7 linked regions of the Mus musculus genome follow. The protein of the gene in region 5 interacts with the protein of the main gene of each other region in a biochemical or structural test. Links are inferred from orthologs where the notes say so. Each region holds a gene or a part of one and is shown on either strand. Other genes may lie near its edges. The genes, in order: Mast2, Mast1, Htra1, Pard3b, Rps6ka1, Grasp and Grid2ip.

What was found.
Region 1: the proteins of Rps6ka1 (region 5) and Mast2 interact in a test that uses a peptide from one of them, tested with the Homo sapiens proteins (2 studies listed by BioGRID and IntAct, with this or other methods). The link is inferred for Mus musculus from reciprocal best matches to the Homo sapiens genes RPS6KA1 and MAST2.
Region 2: the proteins of Rps6ka1 (region 5) and Mast1 interact in a test that uses a peptide from one of them, tested with the Homo sapiens proteins (2 studies listed by BioGRID and IntAct, with this or other methods). The link is inferred for Mus musculus from reciprocal best matches to the Homo sapiens genes RPS6KA1 and MAST1.
Region 3: the proteins of Rps6ka1 (region 5) and Htra1 interact in a test that uses a peptide from one of them, tested with the Homo sapiens proteins (2 studies listed by BioGRID and IntAct, with this or other methods). The link is inferred for Mus musculus from reciprocal best matches to the Homo sapiens genes RPS6KA1 and HTRA1.
Region 4: the proteins of Rps6ka1 (region 5) and Pard3b interact in a test that uses a peptide from one of them, tested with the Homo sapiens proteins (2 studies listed by BioGRID and IntAct, with this or other methods). The link is inferred for Mus musculus from reciprocal best matches to the Homo sapiens genes RPS6KA1 and PARD3B.
Region 6: the proteins of Rps6ka1 (region 5) and Grasp interact in a test that uses a peptide from one of them, tested with the Homo sapiens proteins (2 studies listed by BioGRID and IntAct). The link is inferred for Mus musculus from reciprocal best matches to the Homo sapiens genes RPS6KA1 and TAMALIN.
Region 7: the proteins of Rps6ka1 (region 5) and Grid2ip interact in a test that uses a peptide from one of them, tested with the Homo sapiens proteins (2 studies listed by BioGRID and IntAct, with this or other methods). The link is inferred for Mus musculus from reciprocal best matches to the Homo sapiens genes RPS6KA1 and GRID2IP.

What each region holds. Positions count from the first base shown.
Region 1 is NC_000070.6:116,307,224-116,310,723, reverse strand, and holds part of Mast2 (microtubule-associated serine/threonine-protein kinase 2), read left to right. Parts: intron 1-72; coding exon 73-267; intron 268-681; coding exon 682-908; intron 909-1,097; coding exon 1,098-1,220; intron 1,221-1,662; coding exon 1,663-1,799; intron 1,800-1,883; coding exon 1,884-2,077; intron 2,078-2,386; coding exon 2,387-3,500. UniProt on the Homo sapiens protein: Appears to link the dystrophin/utrophin network with microtubule filaments via the syntrophins. Phosphorylation of DMD or UTRN may modulate their affinities for associated proteins. Functions in a multi-protein complex in spermatid maturation.
Region 2 is NC_000074.6:84,927,354-84,930,853, reverse strand, and holds part of Mast1 (microtubule-associated serine/threonine-protein kinase 1), read left to right. Parts: coding exon 1-34; intron 35-1,471; coding exon 1,472-1,632; intron 1,633-1,828; coding exon 1,829-1,904; intron 1,905-2,064; coding exon 2,065-2,274; intron 2,275-3,500. UniProt on the Homo sapiens protein: Microtubule-associated protein essential for correct brain development. Appears to link the dystrophin/utrophin network with microtubule filaments via the syntrophins. Phosphorylation of DMD or UTRN may modulate their affinities for associated proteins.
Region 3 is NC_000073.6:130,960,203-130,963,702, reverse strand, and holds part of Htra1 (serine protease HTRA1 precursor), read right to left. Parts: intron 2,191-3,500; coding exon 2,091-2,190; intron 1,731-2,090; coding exon 1,526-1,730; intron 1-1,525. UniProt on the Homo sapiens protein: Serine protease with a variety of targets, including extracellular matrix proteins such as fibronectin. HTRA1-generated fibronectin fragments further induce synovial cells to up-regulate MMP1 and MMP3 production.
Region 4 is NC_000067.6:62,341,824-62,345,323, forward strand, and holds part of Pard3b (partitioning defective 3 homolog B), read left to right. Parts: intron 1-2,110; coding exon 2,111-2,317; intron 2,318-3,046; coding exon 3,047-3,284; intron 3,285-3,500. UniProt on the Homo sapiens protein: Putative adapter protein involved in asymmetrical cell division and cell polarization processes. May play a role in the formation of epithelial tight junctions.
Region 5 is NC_000070.6:133,884,998-133,889,177, forward strand, and holds the start of Rps6ka1 (ribosomal protein S6 kinase alpha-1), read right to left. Parts: upstream 2,801-4,180; 5' UTR 2,636-2,800; coding exon 2,573-2,635; intron 1-2,572. UniProt on the Homo sapiens protein: Serine/threonine-protein kinase that acts downstream of ERK (MAPK1/ERK2 and MAPK3/ERK1) signaling and mediates mitogenic and stress-induced activation of the transcription factors CREB1, ETV1/ER81 and NR4A1/NUR77, regulates translation through RPS6 and EIF4B phosphorylation, and mediates cellular proliferation, survival, and differentiation by modulating mTOR signaling and repressing pro-apoptotic function of BAD and DAPK1.
Region 6 is NC_000081.6:101,230,232-101,233,256, reverse strand, and holds the end of Grasp (general receptor for phosphoinositides 1-associated scaffold protein), read right to left. Parts: intron 2,724-3,025; coding exon 2,630-2,723; intron 2,533-2,629; coding exon 2,466-2,532; intron 2,273-2,465; coding exon 2,206-2,272; intron 1,741-2,205; coding exon 1,241-1,740; 3' UTR 501-1,240; downstream 1-500. UniProt on the Homo sapiens protein: Plays a role in intracellular trafficking and contributes to the macromolecular organization of group 1 metabotropic glutamate receptors (mGluRs) at synapses.
Region 7 is NC_000071.6:143,384,830-143,388,329, forward strand, and holds part of Grid2ip (delphilin), read left to right. Parts: intron 1-1,177; coding exon 1,178-1,265; intron 1,266-1,891; coding exon 1,892-1,969; intron 1,970-2,488; coding exon 2,489-2,685; intron 2,686-2,992; coding exon 2,993-3,148; intron 3,149-3,279; coding exon 3,280-3,366; intron 3,367-3,500.

The sequences.
Region 1 (3,500 bases), about 18 Mb from region 5:
GCATAGGCTGGGATATACTACAGGGAGAGGCTTAGCTGTACCACAGATCTCATTGTTCACTTGGGCCCACAGCCCTGGAGACACGAGGCCGTGGGACCCCTCAGCTAGCTGAGGAAGCTACAGCCAAAGCCATCAGCGACCTAGCTGTGCGTAGGGCCCGTCACCGGCTGCTCTCTGGGGACTCTATAGAGAAGCGCACCACTCGCCCTGTCAACAAAGTAATCAAGTCAGCCTCAGCTACGGCCCTTTCCCTCCTCATTCCTTCAGGTAAGGCCAACAGGGAACTAAGGTAAAATGCATAGGAAGGACATGGGAGGCTGGGGATGCGTGGGCACATGTGTAAAGCCGGTAAGTATTTGAGAGACGGCCTCCTTTCCATGAACATAGAGGTCTCTGAAGATCCAGGTTGATGTTTATGATGTACGCACACGGGCATCAGAGAGCAAGCAGGGTTGTAGTGGACTAGGAGTGGGTTGGGGTCAACAGCTTAGGCCAGCTAGGATCATGGCTGTGTTAAGACCTCTGATGGTGCACGCCTTTAATCCCAGCACTTGGGAGGAAGAGACAGGCAGATTTCTGAGTTTGAGGACAGCCAGGGCTACACAGAGAAACCCTGTCTTGAAAAACCAAAAAAACCAAAGAAGACCTCTGATCATTAAGTCTTGGTTTCTGCTTCTCCAGAACACCATGCCTGCTCACCATTGGCCAGCCCTATGTCCCCACATTCCCAGTCATCCAATCCATCATCCAGGGACTCTTCTCCAAGCAGGGACTTCTTGCCAGCCCTTGGCAGCTTGAGGCCTCCCATCATCATCCACCGAGCTGGCAAGAAGTATGGCTTCACCCTGCGGGCCATTCGAGTCTACATGGGTGACACTGATGTCTACACCGTACACCACATGGTGTGGGTATGTCTGGCCAGACAGAGTTGTTGTCCTCCAGCTGTGTACTCCCACCTTCCCCTTACCAGAGCCTATCTGCCTTTTCTTTGGTCACTGCCCACATAACTCACAGAAACCAGAGGGTGGTGGTAGTCAAGGGTCACAACAGCAGCAGAACCAGGCTCCCGATTAAAGGCTTTTCTCTTCCTGAGGCAGCATGTGGAGGATGGTGGTCCAGCCAGTGAAGCAGGGCTTCGTCAGGGTGACCTCATCACCCATGTCAATGGTGAGCCTGTGCATGGGCTAGTCCACACAGAAGTGGTGGAGCTGGTTCTGAAGGTTAGTGCTAAGAATGCTTCTGTGTGATGTATGACTGCCCTGGACTTGTGAGCCTGGACTCGCCATAAGGGGAGTGAGAGGATCGGGTACGCGTACATGTAGCATTAAGGATAGATGTAGGGACATGCAGGATTTGAATGTGCAATACAGGAGGTTTTTCTCCATATGGTAATTAACCTCATCTGCTGGCCAAACCCCAGACCGTTCTAAACTGCAAGTAAGACTGATGTCAGGACAGGAGAGGTACTGCTGTCTTGCCCGTTCCTAAACTCCTCTGGAGTGCCACTTGGAGCATTTCCTATCCTGTGAGGGAAAACAGCCTTTGATTAGTTTACATGTTGGTATGGAACATCCAAAGGTTTAAGTTAAGATGCGGGGAAGAGTAAGAGTAGGGGAGACAGCCCCATCCAAAGGTTCCAGCTTTGTCTGCTTGGCTTCCTAGAGTGGAAACAAGGTATCAATTTCAACAACTCCCTTGGAGAACACGTCAATCAAAGTGGGGCCAGCTAGGAAAGGCAGCTATAAAGCCAAGATGGCCCGAAGGAGCAAACGGAGCAAAGGCAAGGATGGGCAAGAAAGGTGAGACAGAATTGGTCCAGAGGTCTACCCTGAGATGCCCACATTTGATCAAGCCTACAGTATGCTGTCCCCTTATCTCTACAGCCGAAAAAGAAGCTCCCTATTCCGGAAAATCACAAAGCAGGCCTCCTTGCTCCACACCAGCCGCAGCCTTTCTTCCCTTAACCGCTCCTTGTCATCAGGGGAGAGTGGTCCAGGCTCTCCCACACACAGCCACAGCCTCTCTCCCAGATCTCCTCCTCAGGGATACCGGGTAGCCCCAGATGCTGTGCACTCAGGTACAGGGGTACCCCTGCAAATCAGAAACCATCCCTTGGGAAATTGGAATGAACTTGAGCCATCTGCTTCCCATAGGCCAACTCTAAAGCTCTTTGAGCATAACCTTGAAGATCTATAAGTGTTGGGAAGATTGATGGGTGGGGGCAGTGAAGGTAGATTAAGTGGACTGTAGTCACCAGTGGTAAAAAGTGAACAGCAGTCTTGGGGCATTCTAGAGCAAAGTTCTGCCTTACTGCTCAGTCACTTCTAACAGCTAACACTGATGTCTTGTTTTCTGTTTGTCTGTCCACCCATGCAACCATCCAAAGTAGGAGGGAATTCCTCGCAGAGCAGCTCTCCCAGCTCCAGTGTGCCCAGTTCTCCTGCTGGCTCTGGACATACACGGCCCAGCTCTCTTCACGGTCTGGCACCCAAGCTCCAACGCCAATACCGCTCACCACGGCGCAAGTCAGCAGGCAGCATCCCACTGTCACCGTTGGCCCACACCCCTTCCCCACCAGCAACGGCAGCTTCACCTCAGCGTTCCCCATCACCCTTGTCTGGCCATGGGTCTCAGTCCTTTCCTACCAAACTTCACTTGTCTCCTCCGCTAGGTAGGCAGCTCTCACGGCCCAAGAGTGCAGAGCCACCCCGCTCTCCCCTACTTAAGAGGGTGCAGTCTGCTGAGAAGCTGGCGGCTGCACTGGCAGCTGCTGAGAAGAAGTTAGCACCTTCCCGCAAACATAGTCTTGACCTGCCCCATGGTGAACTAAAGAAGGAACTGACACCCAGGGAAGCCAGCCCTCTGGAGGTAGTTGGAACCAGAAGTGTGCTATCCGGGAAAGGGCCACTTCCAGGAAAGGGGGTACTGCAGCCTGCTCCTTCACGGGCCCTTGGGACCCTACGGCAGGATCGAGCTGAACGCCGTGAGTCACTGCAAAAACAAGAAGCAATCCGGGAAGTAGACTCCTCAGAAGATGACACTGATGAGGAGCCTGAGAACAGCCAGGCCACACAGGAGCCAAGATTGTCCCCCCACCCAGAAGCAAGCCACAATCTACTCCCTAAAGGTTCAGGAGAGGGTACAGAAGAGGACACTTTCTTGCACAGGGATCTAAAGAAGCAGGGCCCTGTACTCTCAGGTCTAGTGACAGGGGCCACACTAGGCTCCCCCCGAGTAGACGTTCCTGGGCTCTCCCCAAGGAAGCTCAGCAGGCCACAAGCCTTTGAGGAAGCTACCAACCCCTTACAAGTCCCTAGCCTGAGCAGGTCTGGACCCACAAGCCCCACCCCCTCTGAAGGCTGCTGGAAGGCCCAGCACCTCCACACACAGGCACTAACTGCACTTTGTCCCAGCTTTTCAGAACTTACCCCTACCGGTTGTTCTGCTGCCACCTCCACCTCTGGAAAGCCAGGGACATGGTCCTGGAAATTCCTTATTGA
Region 2 (3,500 bases), on a different chromosome or scaffold from region 5:
CTATGGCACCAACACGCCCAGCTCAACTGTTTCAGTGAGTATGTGGAGGTGGATGGATGGGTGGGTAGGGACTCAAGTGACCACACCAGGACCAGAGGTCCCAGCTGTCCTGAGAGGCCGGGTTTCACGGCCCTTCCGAATGCTCAGTTGTCCATCCATTAGAGGTGACAGGTCTTCCGCTGAGGCCCATCGCTGCCCTCACTGCATTTCCCTAGGAACCTACTCTCGTTGTCCGTGATGACTCAGTCTTGGGGACTAAGGCATGTATCCAAGTACCATTAGCTAGCCAGAGCCCGCATAGCTTCTACCTCGAGCCCAATCGCTTACCCACTGTACACCTCGGAAATCTCTGTCCTTCAGTGCCCCTTGCAGGAAAAGCTCTGGTTTTCCATCCTTTGCCATGGTGGTTACAAGCTTTGATCATGTGACCTGACTGAGGGTATAAAGGAAGGCTTCCTAGAGGAAGTGGTTGAAGCCAAGATAAAGGATCAGTTGGAACTTGGGGGTGAGGTGTTCAGGAGGTCAGCACCATGGTCAACTCCAAAGGCCTCAGAAAACAGGAGCAGAAGCAATCTGAAAGTATCTGTTGTATGGCAGAATACCGTGGCATAGCCTGTAATGCCCCCTGGAGACTCTAAAATAGGAACCTTAGGAGTCCAAGACCAGCCTAAGCTACATGAGACCTTTCCTCCACCCCTTACCACCACTGGTGGGGGAGCAGCGTAAGGAAGGAAGAAGGAAAAAGAAAAAAGGAAAGGCTGGGCAGTGGTGGCGCACACCTTTAATCCCAGCACTTAAGAAGCAGAGGCAGGGTGATCTCTGAGTTTGAGGCCAGCCTAATCTACAGAGTAAGTTTCAGGATAGAGGATAGCCAGGGCTACATAGAGAAACCCTGTCTCAGAAAAACCAAACCAACCAACCAAAAAAAAAAAAAAAAAAAAAGGAAGAAGCAAAGAGCTTGCTTTTCATGCCTGAGGCCCTGGGCTTGATCTCCAGTACCACAGAAGAAAGAAGGATGGGAGGAGGGAAGGGAAGGAAAAGAAAAAGCTAACTCTCCAGTCAAGGGTTGGAGCAGAGCAGGTGATCCACAGGGGTGATCCAAGCATAAAAAACAGCTAATACCAAGGCTCCGGGGGCAGAACCGGATCTGCCATGTTCAAAGATCTGCAGGAGCAGTAGGGATGGAATAGAGCGGGCAGAGGTACGCGTAGGAAGAATGACAGCAAGGAGGTAAGGCCAGGAGGTCTAGTGGAAGGACTTGAGAGCGCACTGTAAGGTAGGAGCCAATGGATGGTTCTGCATAGCAATCTTCCCCAACCCCTTGGTGGTTTGAGATAGAATCTCAGTGTAACCGAGGCTGGCCTCAAACCCTCTGTCCTCTTAAGCGCTGGGATCACAGATGGGAGCCCCAGGCCAGGGTCCAGTGCTGTGCTGCCCCCGCGGTGGCTCTGACCCACCGCCCTCCCCGTAGTCCTCCTGCTCCTCCCAGGAGCGCCTGCATCAACTACCGTACCAGCCCACCGTGGACGAGCTGCACTTTCTGTCCAAACACTTCGGCAGCACCGAGAGCATCACCGACGAGGATGGTGGCCGCCGCTCTCCCGCCGTGCGTCCTCGCTCTCGCAGCCTCAGGTGCGCAGGCACTGAACCTCCCTTCTGGAGGGATGAGATTTGGTGCATGACCAGGGAATCTTCGGTCCTGGGAAAATGTAGTGGAGTGCGAGATGGGGCGGGGGAGAGGGAAAGGCAGCGGCGGGGGTGGGGGTGGAGTGGGGGCGGGGCAACACTAAGTCAGGGGACTGGACAGGATGAACTTCTTCTCCTGCAGCCCCGGCCGCTCCCCCTCCTCCTACGACAACGAAATTGTGATGATGAACCATGTGTACAAGGAGCGGTTCCCAAAGGTGAAACAACCCGCCCCCCCCCGCGCCCCCCACTCCCACATCACACGACTTCCCTTAGTTCGCTTGAGCGCCTGAGCTCTGTGCGCCCCCTAGCGATCAGGACGCGCGGCTCCAGTGACCACAGCCTCCTAGAGCCTTGCATCCCTGTACCGTTGTCCAGGCCACTGCACAGATGGAAGAGAAGCTGCGGGACTTCGCCCGCGCCTATGAACCTGACAGCGTGCTGCCGCTGGCCGACGGCGTGCTCAGCTTCATCCACCATCAGATCATTGAACTGGCCCGAGACTGCCTTACCAAGTCCCGCGATGGGCTCATCACCACGGTCTATTTCTATGAACTGCAGGAAAACCTAGAGAAGCTGCTGCAGGACGTGAGTGCCAATGACCTCAGGCCCCGCCCATGAGCAGGACAGACCCCACCCGGTTCCTACACCCGTCAAGAGCAGTATTCCAGGCTGGCAGGGTACTGTGGTTCCCACTCTAGGTCTGATGGAGGAGTTGGAAGTTTGTCTCCATACAGGCCCTTCAGTTATTTATGCAACTGTCACCCTTTCTGGTGGCCTCCTAGACCCTCCCCCTTACCCCTCATTAGGAATTGAACTCTGTGAACCAGTGGCCTTGAGGCAAGTGCTTTACCACTGAACTGCATTTCCCCTTCCTTCCTTCCTTCCTTCCTTCCTCCTTCCCTTCTTTCTATTCAAAACAGGGTATCCAGTAGTGCTGGCTGGTCTCCAATTTGTCATGTAGCTGAGGATGGTCTTGAACTTGAGAATCTTCAGTTTCCACCTATTGAGTGCTGGGATTACAGTCTTATGCCACTGCCAACTTCCACTTATGAGATGCTGGGGATGGAACCTAGGACCTCTACATGCCAGGAGAGCAGCACTCTACTAACTAAGCTACACTCCTGGTTAACACTAAGTTGTCCACTAACTAGCCTTGAAATCACTGCAGAGCCCCTGCAGGCTGTGGATTTGACACCTTCCTGTCTCAGCTTCCTGAGTAGCTGGAGTCTCAGGCCTGCAGTACCACACCCAGGCCGTGTGCTAGTTCAAACCCTGTATAAGCAATACATCATTCTATACATTTTTGCTTATTTTCTTTCTTGGCTTTGGTACTACTGTGTCAGGACCATGACTGGGAAGGTAAAGTTCTGTTCAATACAGAGTCCCTGGTGTCTGGCATGGGGCCCAGCTCAACAAATATTGCTAACATGTCTCTGAGAGCATGGCTCTTTGGTTTGCCTAACATGGGTAGCCCTAGGTTCCATCCCTAGCAGAATACACACACACACACACACACACACACACACACACACACACACACACACCATTACTTAAACAAGTGTGTGAGCCTGCTGTGACAGCACACACCTGTCATCCCAGCACTAGGAAAGAGCATCCCAAGTTCCAGGCCAGCCTGGCCTACACAGCAGACCTTGCTTATTGATTAATTAATTAATTAATTAATTAAAAGGGTATACAACTAACAGCAAACAAGATAATACCCTATCCATGTTAAAGACTGTGGAGAACGCTTTCTGAGCACTTCCTGTGCACTGGGCCCTGGCAGCTCAGAAGACAAGTATGTCTGCCGT
Region 3 (3,500 bases), on a different chromosome or scaffold from region 5:
CCTCACATCACCATGTGATCTACATGAGGTGGACTGGGAACGTTTGCTGGTGATCCAGTAAGAACTGTATGTAGTTTCAGGCATGAAGGCCTTGCTAAACAAGTGTGGGAGATGTGGCAGAGTACTTGGCTAGCTCTCACAAAGCCCTGGCTTGATCCACAATATTATATAAACCTGGCTTGGTCCTACATGTCCATAACCCTCACATACAGAAGGTAGATGCAGGGGAGTCAAAGGTTCAAAGCCATCCACAGATAATAGATGTGTTTGAAGGCACCCTGTGCCACATGAGACCTAAGACAACAAAGACTTCGCTAAGCAAATGTGACTGTAAGCAGAATATTAAATTAAAAACATTTTCTTTCATTTTCTTTAATAAAAAATTGCTGTTGGTGTGGTAGCACTTGGGAGGCAAAGTCAGGAGGATCTCTTTGAGGTCAAGGCCAGCCTGGTTTACAAAGTAAGTTCGAAGACAGCTAGAACTTAAGACCTTGTCTCAAAAATATCCAAAAATAAAATAAAATAAGATAAAATAAAATTCAGGTAGGACTAGAAGTAGCTACTCCAATAACTCGCAGAGCAACTTCACATAAGCATTTTTCAAATTGAGCTCACTCTTACTGTGTCTTAGTTTTGTACTGGCCCTGCTTCTGAGTTACAGGCTAATGGAAGGCTATAATTTGGGTAGATAATGCATTGCAGCCCTTTTGAGGGGACTATGGTCATGTCATAATATTAAGGATTCTTAGGGTCTCAAGAGAGAGGTGTTAATTTTGTCTTAAGGTTCCCAAAACCTTGACCTGGAGAGATGGCTCCGTGGTTAACAGCACTGACTGCTTTTCCAGAGGTCCTGAGTTCAATTCCCAGCAACCACACGGTGGCTCACAATCACCTGTAATGGGACACCTGGAATGGTGTGTCTGGAGACAGCGACAGTGCACTCATATACATACAATAAACAAACAAGTGCTTAACAAGGAGAGATGGCTTGGCGTTAAGAGAGCATACTGCTTTTGCAGAGACCCATTGTCTAGTGGCCCATAACCCTGTAACTCTAGGCAAGGGTATCCAACATCTCTCGGTGCATACCCATTTACCCACACAACACATAATTAAAGACAATTTTTAAAACTCTTTTCAAAGCCCATTCTGTAGCCATGGAGAATCCAGGTCACCTCAGTGGAGACAAACATAACTTTGTAATAGATGCTTCATCATCAAGGATTGGAGTTTCCATTCTCACCAGCCACCCATTAAGTTCTTTGTAGCCTGTTGCTTTATAAAGAGAAGATGCTGCTTTTAAAACCTCTGATCTGAGAGCCAGCTTCTTCCAAGGGCTTCCCTCCTCCCTCCCCCCCTCCTCCCTTTTCCCCTGCTCAGGTCCCTCTTTGATGAGACCTGTCTGGCCCTGCAGCTTCATTTTGTGGGTACCAGGGAGCTCTGATGTCCTCACCATCTCCACCTCACCTTCTGAGAGCTGGGCACTGCAGGCCCAGGAGGCACTCGGGCCCCAGATGCGTCTCACCTGGTGGTCAATCTTGATAAGCGCAATGTCCGCCTTTTCATCCACATCCTTGATTTTGGCTTCATAGGTAGCTCCATTCTTCAGCTCAACCTTGACCCGGTTTTTGTTGGTGACCACGTGAGCATTTGTCACAATCAGTCCATCCTCCGATACGATGAATCCTGACCCACTGGCCACTGGCACCTCCCTCTTCGAGAAAGGAAGCCTGAAACAGACATTAGTTGAGCTTGAACTCATTTGCACACACAAGGGAATGACTCTGCAAGAGCAACTCACACACATTGTAGCAAGCATTTAACATTTTAAAAATAACGCTAAGCTACTTTTTGGAATGCATCAAAAAATATTCCACTTAGGAAATATTCCCTGGGAATCACTTCAGAGCTAGAAGTTATTAAAATGCTGAAAGGGCCAAGATTATAGGTCTAAATAGGGAACTTTCCCTAAGGCAGAGAACTTGATCGTAACCCAAGAATCTGCCCAGTGACATTCCTGACACTTTAATGTGCTTCAGAAGCAGCTCTAGTGCTATTTCTTAGTGAGGGAACAGGGCAGGCCTCTTTACTTGCGATATAGTTCAATGTGAACCACAGCCGGGGCGATCTTCTCCACCACATCAGCAATAAAGTTGTACTTATGACGCAAACTGTTGGGATCTTCCTGCCCTGAGGACAAAGGCAGAGATGAGACAGTTTAGTGCTACTGAGCCTGTGCTGAGGCCTGGAACAAGACGTGGGATAGAGGGAGCCAAAAATGCATTAAAGCATCAACACACACTTACAGACATGCAGACTAACTCAAGCACACAAACTCATACACATACAAGCACTTCCATATATGTGTGTATACTCACATGTGTAGAACATACATGAGCATATGGACACATATTCGCATTTATGTAATCACACATAACAAGCATATGCACGCATACACACATCTGCACATGCACACACATACATAAATGCACGCATGCACGCACACATGTGCGCGCGCGCCTCTCTGTGGAAGGGGAATCATTCCCTAGGCTCTGGGCTTTGTGTAAGAACTGGGACCTTTCCAGTCCTCTTGTGACCCATCACAGCTGCATGTCCCCAGGCTCCCCCAAAAGCTCCAGGGCATCTGTGACTTATTCTTGTTCTATCAGGGTCTGCAGGACTCCAACTGGATGCAACTGAGCACAGGGACATGCAGGGACCAGCTTCCTATACTGAAAGGAAGGGAGCCTCCATCCGCCCAGTTCCCCACCCGAAGCTGCTTGATACAGCCACAAACTCTGATCTCTTTTCCCATGGTGTGATGATGTTCCCAGGTTCAGGGAAAGGACTGCAACTTTTAGGGAGACAAACCAACTTGACAAATCCATGGCAGAATCACCTTATTAAGTCTGCTTTCACAGCCTTTTAATTTTCTACTTTGTTGCAGACTTTGAAAATGAGCATTGCTACCATGCTATATTTGGGGAAACTGAGGCCAGGATTTCTCCATGGATACTAAATGGTCTTAATGACACACGTAAATAACAGGAAGATCTGGGATCCACCCCCGAGGCTGTAGTTTCATCTAATGCATCCCATTTCCACTTCTGCAGAGGCATCACACAGAGCTGCATCCGTTACTTTCTGCTGCTGTGAAAAGCTGCCATGACCAAGGCTCTTTTAACTCTTAGAAGGAAACGTGTATTTGGGATTACACTCCAGGGAGATAAGAGTTCACTATGGTGGTGGAGGCAGAAACAGGAAACTAAGAGCTCATATCCTTAACCACAAGTACAAACCAGAGAGAGCAAACTGGGAGTGCTGGGAAGCTCAAAGCCTACCCCCGGTGACGTTCCCCCAGTGACAGTACTTCCTCCAGCAAGCCTATACCACCTAAGCTTTCCCAAGCACAGTCAGCAACTGAGAACCAAGTGCTAAATACCAGAGCATCCCGGGTGGGGGTGGGGTGGGGGAAATCATTCAAACCACCACAGTTCTCC
Region 4 (3,500 bases), on a different chromosome or scaffold from region 5:
TGCATAGGGAGAGTGCTTTTTGCTGGATTTAACTGTAACACAGCCTTAGTATTTATGCTTGCAAATAGCACCTGCAATTTGTCCCTGAATTTTCTTGTATTTTTCTCAGTCTCTTCTCAGTTTCCTTTATTGACTATGCACTGTCATCTATAAAATGTGGTGTTTATTATCATTGTGTGTATTGTTTCTGTAAGTTTTGCCTCCTGCAAGTTAATGATGAAACCATGATGTAATACCTAATTCTTGCGGTGTGCTGGCTTGACTGGGTGGGCTCCGGGGCTCATCTAGACTAATACTTTTTGTTTTGGAGATGAGGAAAATGTATGTCAGCTTAAGCTTGATTACCATAATCAAGTAGTGGGCAGGCACGGAACACGTCCTGAGGTTGTAAGGTTCGTGGTACAAAACAGAAAGGCTGCAGTTGGACTGCCTCTGTTCAGTGCCCAGTGGGGACATGAAGTGTGTAACTTTAACATGTTCCCCATCTTTTCTTATCTACAAATGCTAACAGGGGGACAGGAGTTAGTTTGGTAATAACCCATTTGCTTATCATACCTAGGACCTTTAATTTGATTCCCTAGCTCCCAAACGATACCTTAGTACCACAAGTGAAAGGATTATAGTAAGTTAATATCAGTGAAAGGCAGGGAGGTGCTGGGCACACTCTGAGAATTCTGTACATTGGTAGCTATTATTACAGTTCTTTACATATTCCAGCAAAGGTGGAAGTCTATGCTGCTAACCAACTTATGAGGCTGTTGCATACATTAGACTTATCACTGCTGCCTGGCCTTGTCTTATAGCCCTTGTAGTACACAGTGAGAAGCTAGAGTCACATCTGTGGTAGCAGTGGAAGTAAAAGTGAGAACAGGGATAGCAATATTAAAAGGTAGAGCATCTGCCAAGCCTTCGAGTGTTGGTGTGCATTGAAGTAGATACAACACATACGTGTGTTGATGTCACATATGTGGATAAGCTGCACAGTTATTATTTTCAGAAACATGGTGCATTCTCTTGATGACAATAGTCTCTCCCTGGTAACTGGAGGGGAACAGTCAGGCCTTGGTAGACAGTGAGAGTGCTGAAACAAAAGCCTTAATGGAATTTTTTCTATCTTGTAAGTAACCATTTGCCTACTAATATTTCCATCACTTAATCTTGTTATTGATAATAAGGAGACTGGCTGGAACAGGAGTGGAGTCAAGGAATGGAGTGGAGGGGAGTAGGCCTTGGGCAAGAAAAACTGTACAAGAAGCAGATAATCTATGGTAGAAGATAGGCCCTGAAAGCTCTCTTATGTTTTACATCTCTGTGCTGTAATTGTCTATTATATTAAAGGAGGCTCCTTTCCTGCACTTCAAATGGAACTAGAATTGGAGCAACAGCATTAGGAAAAGTTGTTTTCTTCCTTGCTTTGCTTTATTCACAGAATAAATACATTTAATTCACCATGCATTAATTGTCTTTATGATAATGTAAAGAACTTAACTATGAAAATTGTTATCACTAATGGTTTGATTTCCAGGCCAATCAAATAAACAACTCTGGCAGTAATAACAGGTATAGCGGATGAGATGACTGATTAATACTAATGGGAAGCACAGATTGTGTTAGGTGGGTTATGAGTCTGCATGCCTTGGTCTAGGAAGCAGAGGCAGGCAGATCTCTGTGAGTTTGAGGCCAGTTCATTCTACAAAGAGCTTGTGTGTCTCTCTGACCACATATGTGTACGTGGATGTATATCCTCTCAAACATACAATCTATAGATAGTGACTAGTTTAGTGGCTTTTCAAGTTCACATGTATGTCTATCTATGTGTGCATATATACACATATGTATAAATTTCCCCGAGTAAAACAAATTTAAATACTGTCATCTAAAATCTTACCACAGCTGTAGAAAAAGAAACTGGGTTTCAGAGATGGCAGCCTACTTGCCCAAGATAACCAAAGATAATGGCAAAGCTGGAGTTCAACCCCCAATGTTTACTGACTTAACACAGTCTTTTCTAAACTGCCCAGCCAGAACTATTCTCAGAATTATGAGTCTTTCCACTATAGCTCACTACTCTATCATAGAGAAGGCTGACCTTTCACCCTTTCTCTTCCAGACTCTCCAGGCAAAGATTTTGGTCCAACTTTGGGTCTGAAAAAGTCCAGTTCCTTGGAGAGCCTACAGACGGCTGTGGCTGAAGTCAGGAAGAATGATCTGCCCTTCCACAGGCCCAGACCACACATGGTGCGGGGCCGAGGCTGCAACGAGAGCTTCCGAGCAGCCATCGACAAATCGTACGATGGGCCAGAAGAGGCAGACGCGGGTAGGGCCATATGCCCCCTTAAGTGGGCTCTTCATCTCATTACCATCTGCATATTATAAGCAAAAATGTTCACTTAACTACTGAAAAAAATGATTTAAGGATCACAATTATATTTTTGATATTAAAAGTAATTCATTTTCCTGATATGTTTTGCCCTTTGGCTTAAGGAACATTAGATTGGAGGATGCAATGTGCAATTTATTTCACAGTGCAAATGGGGGAAAAAAATTCTCTTTCACTTTTTTAGAAGGACCAACTGTCATTTACCCTTAGGGCAGGAGCACTAAGCATGCGTTTCTTGGCATTCTTATTTGAATCATTAAAAGCAACATCAACCAGAGGACTGACTGCATTAATTGCGTAGGAGCAGTGGGTTATATTTATACGCAAAAATCTCTTTTGGAAAGAAGCTCACCCTGCTTGTTCCCAGCATGTGGGCTTTCTGAACTGATCGGAGGTTAACAAGCTAGCTTTCAGAGAGGTTACTGCTTTAGCACATTTCAAGCCTTTTGTGCTACCAGCTAGCAACCAGTGTGACCCACTCCTAGCCTCAGACCTTGCTTGAAGTACCCAGGGCTAAGAAATCCTATCTTCAAAGGGTACAAGTAGCCGTGTGGTTCAGCAGAACATAGAGTACTTGTATTCCTTCTGTATTTTACATTTTGACGTATTTTATATATACTAGTGGTAAGTGCCCCTGACTATGGGTATTGATTTTTCTCTCTACAGATGGTCTGTCTGATAAGAGCTCTCGCTCAGGCCACACAGCTCTGAATTGTGAGTCTGCCCCTCAGGGAAACCCCGAGCTAGACAATGTGGAAAATAAAGCCAAAAACATCAAAAAAACAAAAGAGAAGGAGAAGAAAAAAGGAAAGGGCAAGCTGAAAGTCAAGGAAAAAAAGCTGAAGGAGGAACATGAGGACGCAGAGAGGAAAATGAAGAGGAAGGGCTTCGGTGCCATGCTGAGGTAAGGGCCCGCTGTGAAGGCACTTGGCATTGTTTCTCCTAGCTAAACCACGCCATTGTGTATGCTCAGGAAAAGGGTCAAGGTTTCTCTCATCTTCAGCTATATTCATAAAAATCAAGACATTCGTAAAAGTCAAGGCTATAACTGTATTGTTTGTGTGTGAAGAAGGCACAAAAAGCCTTTTGAGGTGTCCCCTGAATCTTGTGCTGATGACGA
Region 5 (4,180 bases):
AGATGGGGAAAGACAGCACGTGCCCTGCAGGCAGGAAGCAGCCCCAGGAACTGGGTTCTGAGCCCAGCCCTGGCAGCCCTGTTGCACTGTTGGAGCCTGGGGGCCAAGTGCCAGGACACTGCTAGCCCTCAGCCAAGGCTGGACAAAGGCCCTGAGGCCTGAGAAGTGTGTGCCAACATCCGGAGCTGCTCTCTGCCTACCTGCCACCTGTGCCAGTTGAAACCCACCCCACACTCATCTTTGAGTCTCTCTTGCTTGGAGGGAAACAGTGACAGCACTGGGTTCTAGTCCTGATATTAATGCACACGCCAGCATCCCTGAGTCCTGCCTTCCCATTTGAAAATGGGAGGGGGGGTCATCTTTTTTAAAGTTGCATGACATCAATAAGTAGCAGCTGGAGACAAAGCTCTGCTGCTTTCAGCAGAACCAAAAAAAGCCCAGGTAACATCCTCACCCCTACGTCCAGTTGGTTTAGTCCACCTGGGCCCTGCCTGCCAGCAGCCCACTTCTGGTGACAGCAATGGGAAGACAGGGCAATTCAGATCCCAGACCTCTTCTGCCAAATGCCCTTGCCAGCCCCCTTACCTGCCTTCTTCCTGGCCACAATGGCGCCAGTACCTGCAGGCTAGGCACTGTATCACTTACGTGTCATCTGCACGAAGAACAGCAGGGCCCTGTTCTCAAGTGAGCATGCACACCCTCACTGCCCCACAGCTCTGGTTACCCAAACAATAACACCCAGTCCACAGGCACCTCCATGGCCTGGGGGAGGGGACCCAGGCAGCAGGACCCAGGGTTTTGCACCTTGTCAGGCCCAGGAAGTAGAGCTAGAAACTCATCTGTGGTGCTGGAAGGAGAGGCCCAGACAGCTTGAAGATGGACTTAGGGCCACACAACATTTCTGAAGTGAAACTCAATGAAAAAACTCCTCTCCCCCATCCCAGGAAATGTGACAGTCTCCCCTCGCCTGAATTCAGGTGCAACAGTATTCAAACTAAGATGTTTCCGGTTTAACCTGGCCCCCATGAGGCTGCCTCTGGCCTCAGGATTTCCCAAAGGGAAGCAGGAAGTGCTGCCCTGGAGGAGGCCAGCACTCCTAGAACTCTACTCTCCGCGCTAGGGTAAAGCTGTGAGTCCCTAGGCTGAGTCCCTCCCTAGCCATACCGAGGTCAGGCCTCCCTTCCTCTGGAGGCCCAGGTGGCAGGGGCGTGCCCAAGCCAAGGAGTACACCTCTGAGCCTTCCCTGGGGCCTTGTGCCCCAGTCCTGGGGAGTGTGGGGGGAGCACCAGGGGCTGCAGAGAGCAGTGCTCCTCACCTAGGAGGGTGAGTCAGCCAGACAGCCTCTGAGCGCCTGTGTAGGGCCTGTAAAACCCCCGTGGCAAGGATCCCAGAACAATTTACTCCAAATTGCGCCTTCAGGTTGGTTACCTAATCCAGCCGCGCCCACCCTCCAATAGCCAGTGTAGCCCATCCCTTTAAAGGGGCAGCATGCCCTGAGTGCCTGGAGACTTGGGGATCTCACTGTGGATCCTCTCTCTGCCCGTGGTCCTGAGAGACAGGGCTCACAGTGACTGACCTGAGGTACCAAGCATAGGTAAAGGGGTTCAAGCCAGGAGAAAAAGCATCTAGGTTCTGGGATCAAGTGAGGTCTCCTGTACCCCAGCCTCCTGTACCCCAAAACAGCTCCAGTGAAGGAAGGCAGAGTTTCACCTGCCTCCTTCGCAGCAGGAGAGCAGGGAAAGTTTTAAAGTTGCTGGTTCAAAACTTGACCTTGATCCCAGGGTGACAGGACAGCACAGAAGTGGCCTCCTGCATGCTCAGGGTTGGACCACAAAGCCCTCAAAAAAGACAGGAGTTGCTTCTGGGAAAGGCTAGGTGGCAGAAGCCATACTGCCCAAGGGCTCAGCCTTTTTCTACAGGAAAGGAAGGAGGGAGAGAGGAAGACGGAGGCAGAGTCTCTTCTACAGAGACAGTCTTCACAAGATCTAAGGACTTTCCCCACTCTTCAGCATAATCTGAAGTAGGAAGACCCGGTGTCATTAGCTTTAGGGCAAAGGAAAGCAGGCTCCAACTCCAGAGGTGGTATCGTCCCACGTTCCATAACTGCCTGGGATTCAGCAGGGCTACCTTCCTAAGGTCAGAAGTGGAGGAACGAAGAGAGGTCTTGGGGAGAGGTTAAGGTGAGAAACCGGATTCCCATGATCCTTGTCTCTAGTAGAAGCCTAGACATCTGACCCAAGCCTTTCTCCCTTCTGCACTGATTGGGGCAACTCCCACAGCTACTAAAAGATGATAAGCGGGATGGGTCCTAGGTGTCAGATCTCAACACACCGTGGAGATTCCTCTCCTGGCTACTGCAGGGAGGTACTGAGAGCCCAGCAGAACCATCCCCTACACACGCACACCCGGAGCACAAGGGGGTGGAGCCGGACAGTGAGCTAGAGACCGGAGGGCACTCACGTCCCCGCGGGGCTGCAGAGACGCCGCGGGCCGCCCCCGCCCCGCCCCGGTGCGGATCCGGGCTGGCCGGCCGCCGCCGCCTGTCCCCCCAACCCCCGCCCCTCTCACTCACCTCCGGGTCCAGCGGCACCAGCTCCATGAGCGGCCAGGGCTCCTTGAGCTGGGCGAGCGGCATCGCGCCGCTGCCGGACCGCCCGCGCTCCTCCCGGCGGCCCCGGGCAGCGCTGCCTCTGGGCCACGGGGTCCCTGCTGCTACACCGAGACCCCCGCACGCCCCTGAGCCCCTCGCGCTCTGGATGGGCCGTCCGCCGCCGCCGCGGCACTCGCACTTCGGCTCGCTCCGTCACCCGGCGCCGCCGCGCCCATTGGCTACCTGCGCGGGGGCGGGGCCTGAGTAGCCCCGCCCAGTCCCCCCACGGCGCGGCATTCCCGGCGCGGACCCCCGCCCCCAACGCGCCGGGAGTCAGCCTTGCCTTCACGAGAGACCCCAGCCCACTGTCGGCCCTGCCCACCGGAGGCTCCGCGGGTTCCGTTTTCCCGGGCTTTGTGCCGCTTTGCAGACCTCGCTGGGGCCTCCGTTGTCCTGTCCTAGCAGCCTTTGGGATGTTAACCCAGATGTGCCTTCTCCCTCCAGGGGGAGGGGCTGCCACCCCACATTTACATGGGACGTCCTGGGCCTGATCCCGACTGAGGCGTGGAAGGAGCCTGGGCCTTGTGCCCTCTGGCTCTCAGCTCTCCAAGCCCTTAGGATCGCCCCCTTCCGAAAGCTTGTGCACATCACGGGAGCCCACACTTTGGGGTCTCCATGTGATCCCCGGGTCCCAAGCCAGCCAGCGCCAGGACCCACAGCGCCCCCAGGGTGATTTCCTAATACGCATTTTTTTTTCTCCTTCCTAGTCTGTTGTGCCCTATCACTTGAGGGCGCTGGTTTCAGGCCAGGTCCGCGCCTCTTCCGTGGCAGACCAGATTGTGGTCTGACTTGAGCAGGAGTCCCTGGAAAGAAGGCAAAATCCAGTTCTGGTGGGATCAGGATTCTCTCCAGTAAGATTTGGCCTGCTCTTAAGGAGATTTTAGGCCCCAGGTGTCGTGAGACTTACTCTCAGGTGAAAGACAAGCTGGCTCGTTTATTAAAAGCCTCCAGCGAAGACAGGCGTCATTGATAGGGAATTTATTTTTTGTTACGTTTCCTTGCTTGGTTATGGCCATGGAACCCAGGCTTTGCCGGCCAGGTCGTGTTGAGTATCTCCGACCTCCACCTTCAGGCAGCTTGTGATTTTTTTTTTGAGACTCCACCCCATCCTAGTAGACACCCTAAGCTATTTATCCGAAGTCACACAGCAGGTCAGGAGCACACTGGTGTTTAAAAGAGTGTGGGGTGGGTCCGTGGATGGACTCAATGGGTAAAAGAGCTTGCCTTCCCTGAGTCTGATCCCCAGGCCCCATGTGGTGGAAGAGAACCAACTCATAAGCAGTCCTTTGACCTCCACAAATGTGCACAGGGACAACCTTCCCCGATAAAGACATTTTAATGCAGTACATTTTTAAGTGGAGAGAAGTCACTCACGCCTCTAATCCTAGCAGTAGGGAGGCAGAGGCAGGAGGATCTCTGTTCAGGGCTAGCTTGGGCTACTTAGCCAATTCTAGGCCAGCCAGGGCTACACAGTAAGAACCTGTATCAAAACAAAACAAACAAACCCCCCAAACCCCAAAAACCCAACTA
Region 6 (3,025 bases), on a different chromosome or scaffold from region 5:
CTTGTGGAAAAAGCCAATGCAGAGGCCCAGAGGGACATGTCTGTAGCCAGCATTCTGAGCAGTAAGGAGCCCAGAAATGAAGCTCAGGGCTTAGCCAGGGAGGCACAGGTGTAAAGAGTGGGAGGAGGGCCAGGAGACTGACCTGTCTGTCACAGGTTGGGTGAACAGTGGCTAAGTCTGTGGGTCTAGCTACTACTCAAGGCAGACTTCAGATGGGCCAGGAAGGAACATTAGACAGCGATCCTGTATCTGTTGTGGGTATCTGGGGAGGGAAGCTTCAAAAATGCACCTGAAGGAGAGGCCCGGGTTCTAAAGAGGGTGTGGGGCCTCAGTTCAGGCCAGAACATGTTCATTAAAATCCCCTAGACAGTTTCCCTGGCTTCAGGCTAAAAGAAAGATGTGAAGTACAGCCCGTGTGTGTTTGGAGGGGGCTGCATGGTGGAGTCAGAGCTTGCCTGAGCACAGTCCTCCCCCACAGGCAGTTACCACACTGACACAGATGCAAAAAAAACCCATCAATTTTATACAGTTTGTGGTTCAGAAGCAACATATGCAGAAAACGGTGGAACAGTCCAGGCTGCCCCACCCCACCTGAATGAACTCATTCTTGTTCCCCAAGGAGCACAGAACCCAGGACCCCGGCCTGGCAGGACCCCACTTAGTTATAGGCCCCTGGACAGGGGTTAAGCCCTTAGGGGTCAAGGTTGGAGGGAGGGGACCAGCACCTTGCCCCCTTGGGGCCCACTGGTCCATTGATGTGTGTGTGTGTGTGTGTGTGTGTGTGTGTGTGTGTGTATCTGTCTGTCTGTCTCTGTAGGGTGGGGAATGATCCATCGTGGATCTCCTCTCCCCAAGGCTAAGGAAGGGCTGGGGAGCCAGTATATCTGAGGAGAGGGTTTCTTGGGACAGGACCCCCACAAGGCACGACTGACCCAGACTTTAGCCTGGTACAGCCCTCTTTGGTCCCCCAGATTTCTCCCAATTCCCAGTGTCTATTCTCCCCCTGTAGAGCTCCTGCTGTGGTTTAGGGGAGGGCAGAAAGCAACTAGCCCCCCCCCCCTTTTTTTTTTGTTCAGCAGACAAGCCAATGAACCGACCAGAAAGACCAGAGCTAGCAAGGACCCTCTCCCGCAGCTTTGGGCTCCCGGGGTCCTTGGACCGACACTACCGCCCCTACTTTTTGCACAGGCTGTTACGATGAATAAATAAATAAATACTTCCCACCTGCCCACCCGCGCCCCTACAGCTGGCTCTCCTCTTCCTCCAGGGAGCGGTTGAGTCCGGGGATGAACTTGAGCAGCCGTCTGCGGAAGCTGCGGTACTTGGTCTTGCGTAGGCCGGCGCCACACAGGGCCTGCTCGCGGGCCTCAGTCCAGAGTGCGCCCGGCGCGCCCCCGCCGCCGCCCGGGCCCGCGCACCGCACACTGGCGCTGCGGCTGAGCGTGGAGCGAGGTGCGGGAAACAGCACGGACGCGGGGGTCTCCGCGGAGCTCGGGCCTAACGCGCGCGCGGGGGGTGGCGGGGGTGGCAGTGCCTGCGGCTCGGCGCCCCCAAAGAAGCACGTGTGGTACACGGCGTCGTCTGTGTCCCCTTTGGCCCGCCGCGCACCCCCGCGGGCACTCCCAGGCGCGGCGAGCAGAGGCCCAAAGGGCAGCGACCCGGGAAGCAAGCCTGCGCCGTAGAGGCAGGAGCGCACGGACTCCAGTGTGTCATAGATGCTTGGGTCTTTCACCACCAGGCCTGTGGGGACAGAAGACCCGGGAGCTTCCTGAATCCTGGAGCCACGCCCTAGGCTAAGGGGCAGAAGGCATGGGCAGAAGATCCTGTTCTTTCCTTGTGGCTACCTACGAGTGCCCTGGGCCCCAGTCTTTCTGTCTGTAAAGCTGGAGTTAAACTCAAGAACGCCTCTTAAGACAGGAAAGCAGTCCACAGAAGTGAGCCTTAGCTGTCCGAGGACTTACTACTGTAGACTAGGCTGGCATCAGAGATCAGCCTGCCTCTGCTTCTGCTTCTGCTTCTGGGATTAAAGGCCGGCAACAAACAGCAGTACTCAACCCTAACCTCCAGAGGGCGACTGTGAGAACAAAACTGTGTTATCAGCTTAGGGCAATGTGAGGTCCCAAGCAGTAGCTCCAGGCCATCCCTGTGAGTTCTAAGAGGGGAGTGCTGCTGGGGGTATCCGTGGGGACGCCCCGACCTACTCACCATGTACTAGCCGCTGCTCCTGTACCATAAGTGACCTGTATTCTCCCCACTTCTCGTACAGGGTTTGCTGTAAGACACATGCAAGCCAACTGTCAGGACTACCAGGTCCCCAGCAGGATATGGGGACGCATGGGAAAGGGAGAAAGGCACAGAAGCCTCGGGGCTAACAGAGTTTAAGAAAGATGCCGGAATCCTTAAAAGGGCCGGAGGAGCAGGGACCGGAAAGAGGAAGGCAGAGCCCATACTTTCTTGATCCCCACCTTAAGGTACTGCAGGCGCGCCTCCAGTTCTGCCTTCCGAATGGACGTCCCGTACAGAGTTTCCAGCCTGGGGGATAGAGGGGGACAAAGGCTGAGCGAGCCTGGAGGCTGAGGAAGCACCACAAACTCAGGAGCCCTTAGGCACTGCACCTAGACACGGATACCTGAGAACGTTGCCAGACGCCTTGATGATATCGACAATCTCCCGGTGCCGGATGCCTTCCACGTTGAGACCGTTGACGCTGGCAATAGTGTCCCCTGCCAGGAAGAGCAGAAGTGAGTATCTGTTTCCCAGGGCATAGAGGAAAGGCTCCAGCCAGAAAGAGCAGGATGGTGACCTGGAGAAACCACCCAGAACTCACTTCCACAGTGGTGGAAGACCTGGGCATCTCTTTTTCTCTACTCAAAATATACAAAACCAGTTGTGGGGGAAGGGTGGCAACACATGCCTTTAATCCCAGCACTTGGGAGGCAGAGGCAGGCAGATCTCTCTAAGTTTGAGGCCAGCCCGATCTACAGAGCAAATTCCAGGACAGCCAAGGCCATACAGAGAAACACTG
Region 7 (3,500 bases), on a different chromosome or scaffold from region 5:
GTCATCCAGCCTTCAGTAGGCTGAGGAGAGAGGGTCATGAGTAACCCAGGGCCTGCCTGGGTTACATAGCAAGTCCTTATCTGAAAATGGGAGTTGAGGGGTGCTGAGTGATTGCTCAGTGGGTAGTGTCTGCCATACAAGAATCAGGACCTGAGTGTGGACTGCAGCACCCCTGTGAAAATCTGGACATGATGGTGTACAGCTGTTTCCTAGGTGACAGACCACTGAAGCTCATTGGCCAGCTAACTTAACCCGTTGGTAGAGTCCTAGGTTTAATGAAGAGATGGTCTCAAAAAGTAGGGTAGATGGGCCTAAAGAGATAGCTCAGTAGGTAAGAGCATTTATTGGTCAAGCATGAGGACCTGAGTTCAAATCCCCAGCACCCATGTTATTAAAAAAACAAAACAAAACAAAACATGGCACAGGACAAAGACATTTGATGTCAACCACTGTCCTCACACATGTGTACACATTGACATATATGTGCACACATACCAGACACACACCAAAGGAGACTTTAAAACAGGGCAAACCCCTCAGGTCTCTCTCTTTAGTCTTCTTGGATGTCACCAACATCTTCCTTCTTCATGGACAGAGTTCCAAGAATGGCTGCCTTACTGACCAGACGGGGAGTCAGTTCTTAGCTTATAACTTGGATTATGCAGCATGTCTTTTTTTTTTAATTGTGTGTGTGTATGTGTGTGTGTGTGTGTGTGTGTGTGTGTGTGTGTGTGTGTGTCAGAGGCCAGAAGAGGTCGTCAGATACCCTGGAGCTGTAGTTACCAGCAGTTGTGAACGGTCGGATGAGGGTGTTGGGAACGGCACTCAGGTCCTCTACAAGAGCAGCAAGCATTGCTGAGCCATCGCTCTAGCCCTGGTTTACAGAATTCTTTCCTTCCTCTCTTTCTATTTTTTATTTTTTGAGACAAGGTCTTACTGTGTGGACCAGGCTGGCCTGGAACTCACAGGGACCTCTGCCCCCTGAGTTCTGGGATTAAAGGGGTGCACCATATCCTGCTTCTATCTAGTGCTTCCTGCCTGCACCCTCCTCTTGCTCCTGTCTTCCTCTTGGACCTCCTGGGCCCTATCTCTTTGGGGGTCCTCAGGATGAATCTCAGAGGCAGGCTGGTTGCCTGGGCTCTCCTGCTCTGACCATCTCACGATCGATTGCTTGCAGCTTGGGGAAGACTCTGACTATGACAAGCTGAGTGACATGGTGAAATACCTCGACCTGGAGCTCCACTTCGGCACCCAGAAACCTCCGAGTGAGTGGCGGGGCCATGCTGCCTGCTGCCTCGTAGCTTCCGGTTCCCAGAGTATACACTGCTAGACACTGTGTCTCCAAACTTCAAGACCTTTCTGCATACATGCATGAATCCCTTGATGGTCCTGTAAGCTAGATCACAGAATCACTTTCACTTCTTAATGAGGAAGCCCAGAAAGGCTAGGTAGTTTGCACCAAGTCACAAAGCCATGGTAGGATGAGCATCCTTTTCAGTCTCCCTCTCCACCTCATCCTTTCTAGGTATCTCCTTGGAGTGTGACTCCAAGAAGTCAGTAGTTTGTTCTTGTATGCAGCACAAACTCAGGAAGTGGTTGGTTTTCATTGTTCAGCCTGAGGAGTGCAGGGAAGAGGGCCTGCGAGGGGACAGTAGTGTGGGGTCTGACAAGCCATGTACTAAATGCCTTAGGCTGGACCTGCGGGTCCACGACCGAAAGGCTGAAGAATGAGGCGGGAATTTGGATGCCTGGAGCTGATGTAGTTGAGTTGATGCATCCCTGCAAAAGTTCCTTGACCACTGGTTGTAGCCACACCTCTCCTTTGGCCCTGCCACAGCAGCCCTAGTCTAGCCCCGCATTCCCCATTAAACAGTACTGTTTTCTCTTCCAGAGCCAGTGCCCGGCCCGGAGCCCTTCAGGAAGAAGGAAGTGGTGGAGATCTTGTCCCACAAGAAGGCCTACAATACCTGTGAGAAGCTTTAGGGTCCCCACCTTCAAGGGCCCAAAAAGCTGAAACCCGCAAAGGGGAGATCGAAATTAAGATATGGGGACTGGGACCGGCCACACTGCTAAAAGAAGGCCGACTCTCAGGGCAGCAGGATCCCCAATCTGTACTCAGGTGTACTCCTAGGCACCCTCTATTGGCACCATAATGCGTTTCTTGGTCCTGGTCCTGGCCATACCTCCAATCATATTATCGACTTCGTCCCTCCTTAGTTCCTCGCCCCGCCCACTGTTCTCACCCTTCTACCAGGTATCTGTTTGGGGGGATCCCGCCCCTCTTCTGTCAATCTCCAAGACCCCTATTCCCTGGCTACTCTTACGCAAAGCCCTTCTCCGCTAGGTACTTCTCTCAGGCCCCTCCTCGCTATGCTCTTCCCAGTACCCTCGCCGAATCAAGTCCCTACTCTTCCCTGAGGCCTCGCCCCTAATTCGGCCCCGCCCCCCCAGGGCCCCGCCCCGTCTCACCCTAGTGCCCCACCCGCAGCCATTCTCCTAGCGCACCTGAAGCTGACCCCTGGCGAGCTGCGGCAAGTGCTCATGAGCATGGAACCCCGGCGCCTGGAGCCTGCTCATCTGGCGCAGCTGCTGCTCTTCGCTCCTGACGCCGACGAGGAACAGCGATATCAGGCTTTCCGCGAGGCTCCGGGTCGCCTCAGTGAGCCGGACCAGTTCGTCCTGCAGGTGCTAAGACCAGCCTCCAGCCCCCACACCATGGCTAGGGCTCCTTCGCATGGGCTCCCTCTGCAGTCAGAAGTTGGCTTCTGTCCCAGGTCCCTTGAAGACTGCCCTTGGCTTCTTAGTCCTAGTTTAACTCCTTTGAGTTCTCACTTTAGGTCAAGGCAGACGCGATGAGATTGTTCCCAGGGTCAGGTTAATTTTTCCTAAGGGGTACCATGTTCATCTGTCAGAGGACTCACTCCCCAGGCTGGGCAGAAGGTCCCGGCTGGGGATGCATGAATCTGGCCTGGGATGCATGACTTTCCTTCAGATGCTGTCGGTTCCCGAATACAAGACCCGCCTGCGCAGTCTACACTTCCAGGCTACCTTGCAGGAGAAGACAGAGGAGATACGAGGCAGCCTCGAGTGTCTGCGACAGGCATCTCTGGAGCTCAAAAACAGCCGGAAACTCGCCAAGATCCTGGAGGTCAAGCCATTCCCATCCCTGTTTGTTTAATCTGATCTTTTTGTCTCCTGGGGCGCCCAGCCCAAAACCTACACATGGGGAGGGGGCGGGGTGAGTATCTGGATAGGATCATTCTACTTTTCTCCCCACAGTTTGTGTTGGCCATGGGTAACTATCTCAACGATGGACAGCCCAAGACCAACAAGACCACTGGCTTCAAGATCAACTTCCTGACCGAGGTGAGGGCCAGGCAGGCACCCATCTACTCTAGCTGCCAGACCTGGAGGCAGAGTCACGTTGTGGCAGCTGAGCCAAGTGTGGCGGCATACACCTGTAATCCCATCACTTAGAAGGTCGAGGCAAGAGGATCAGG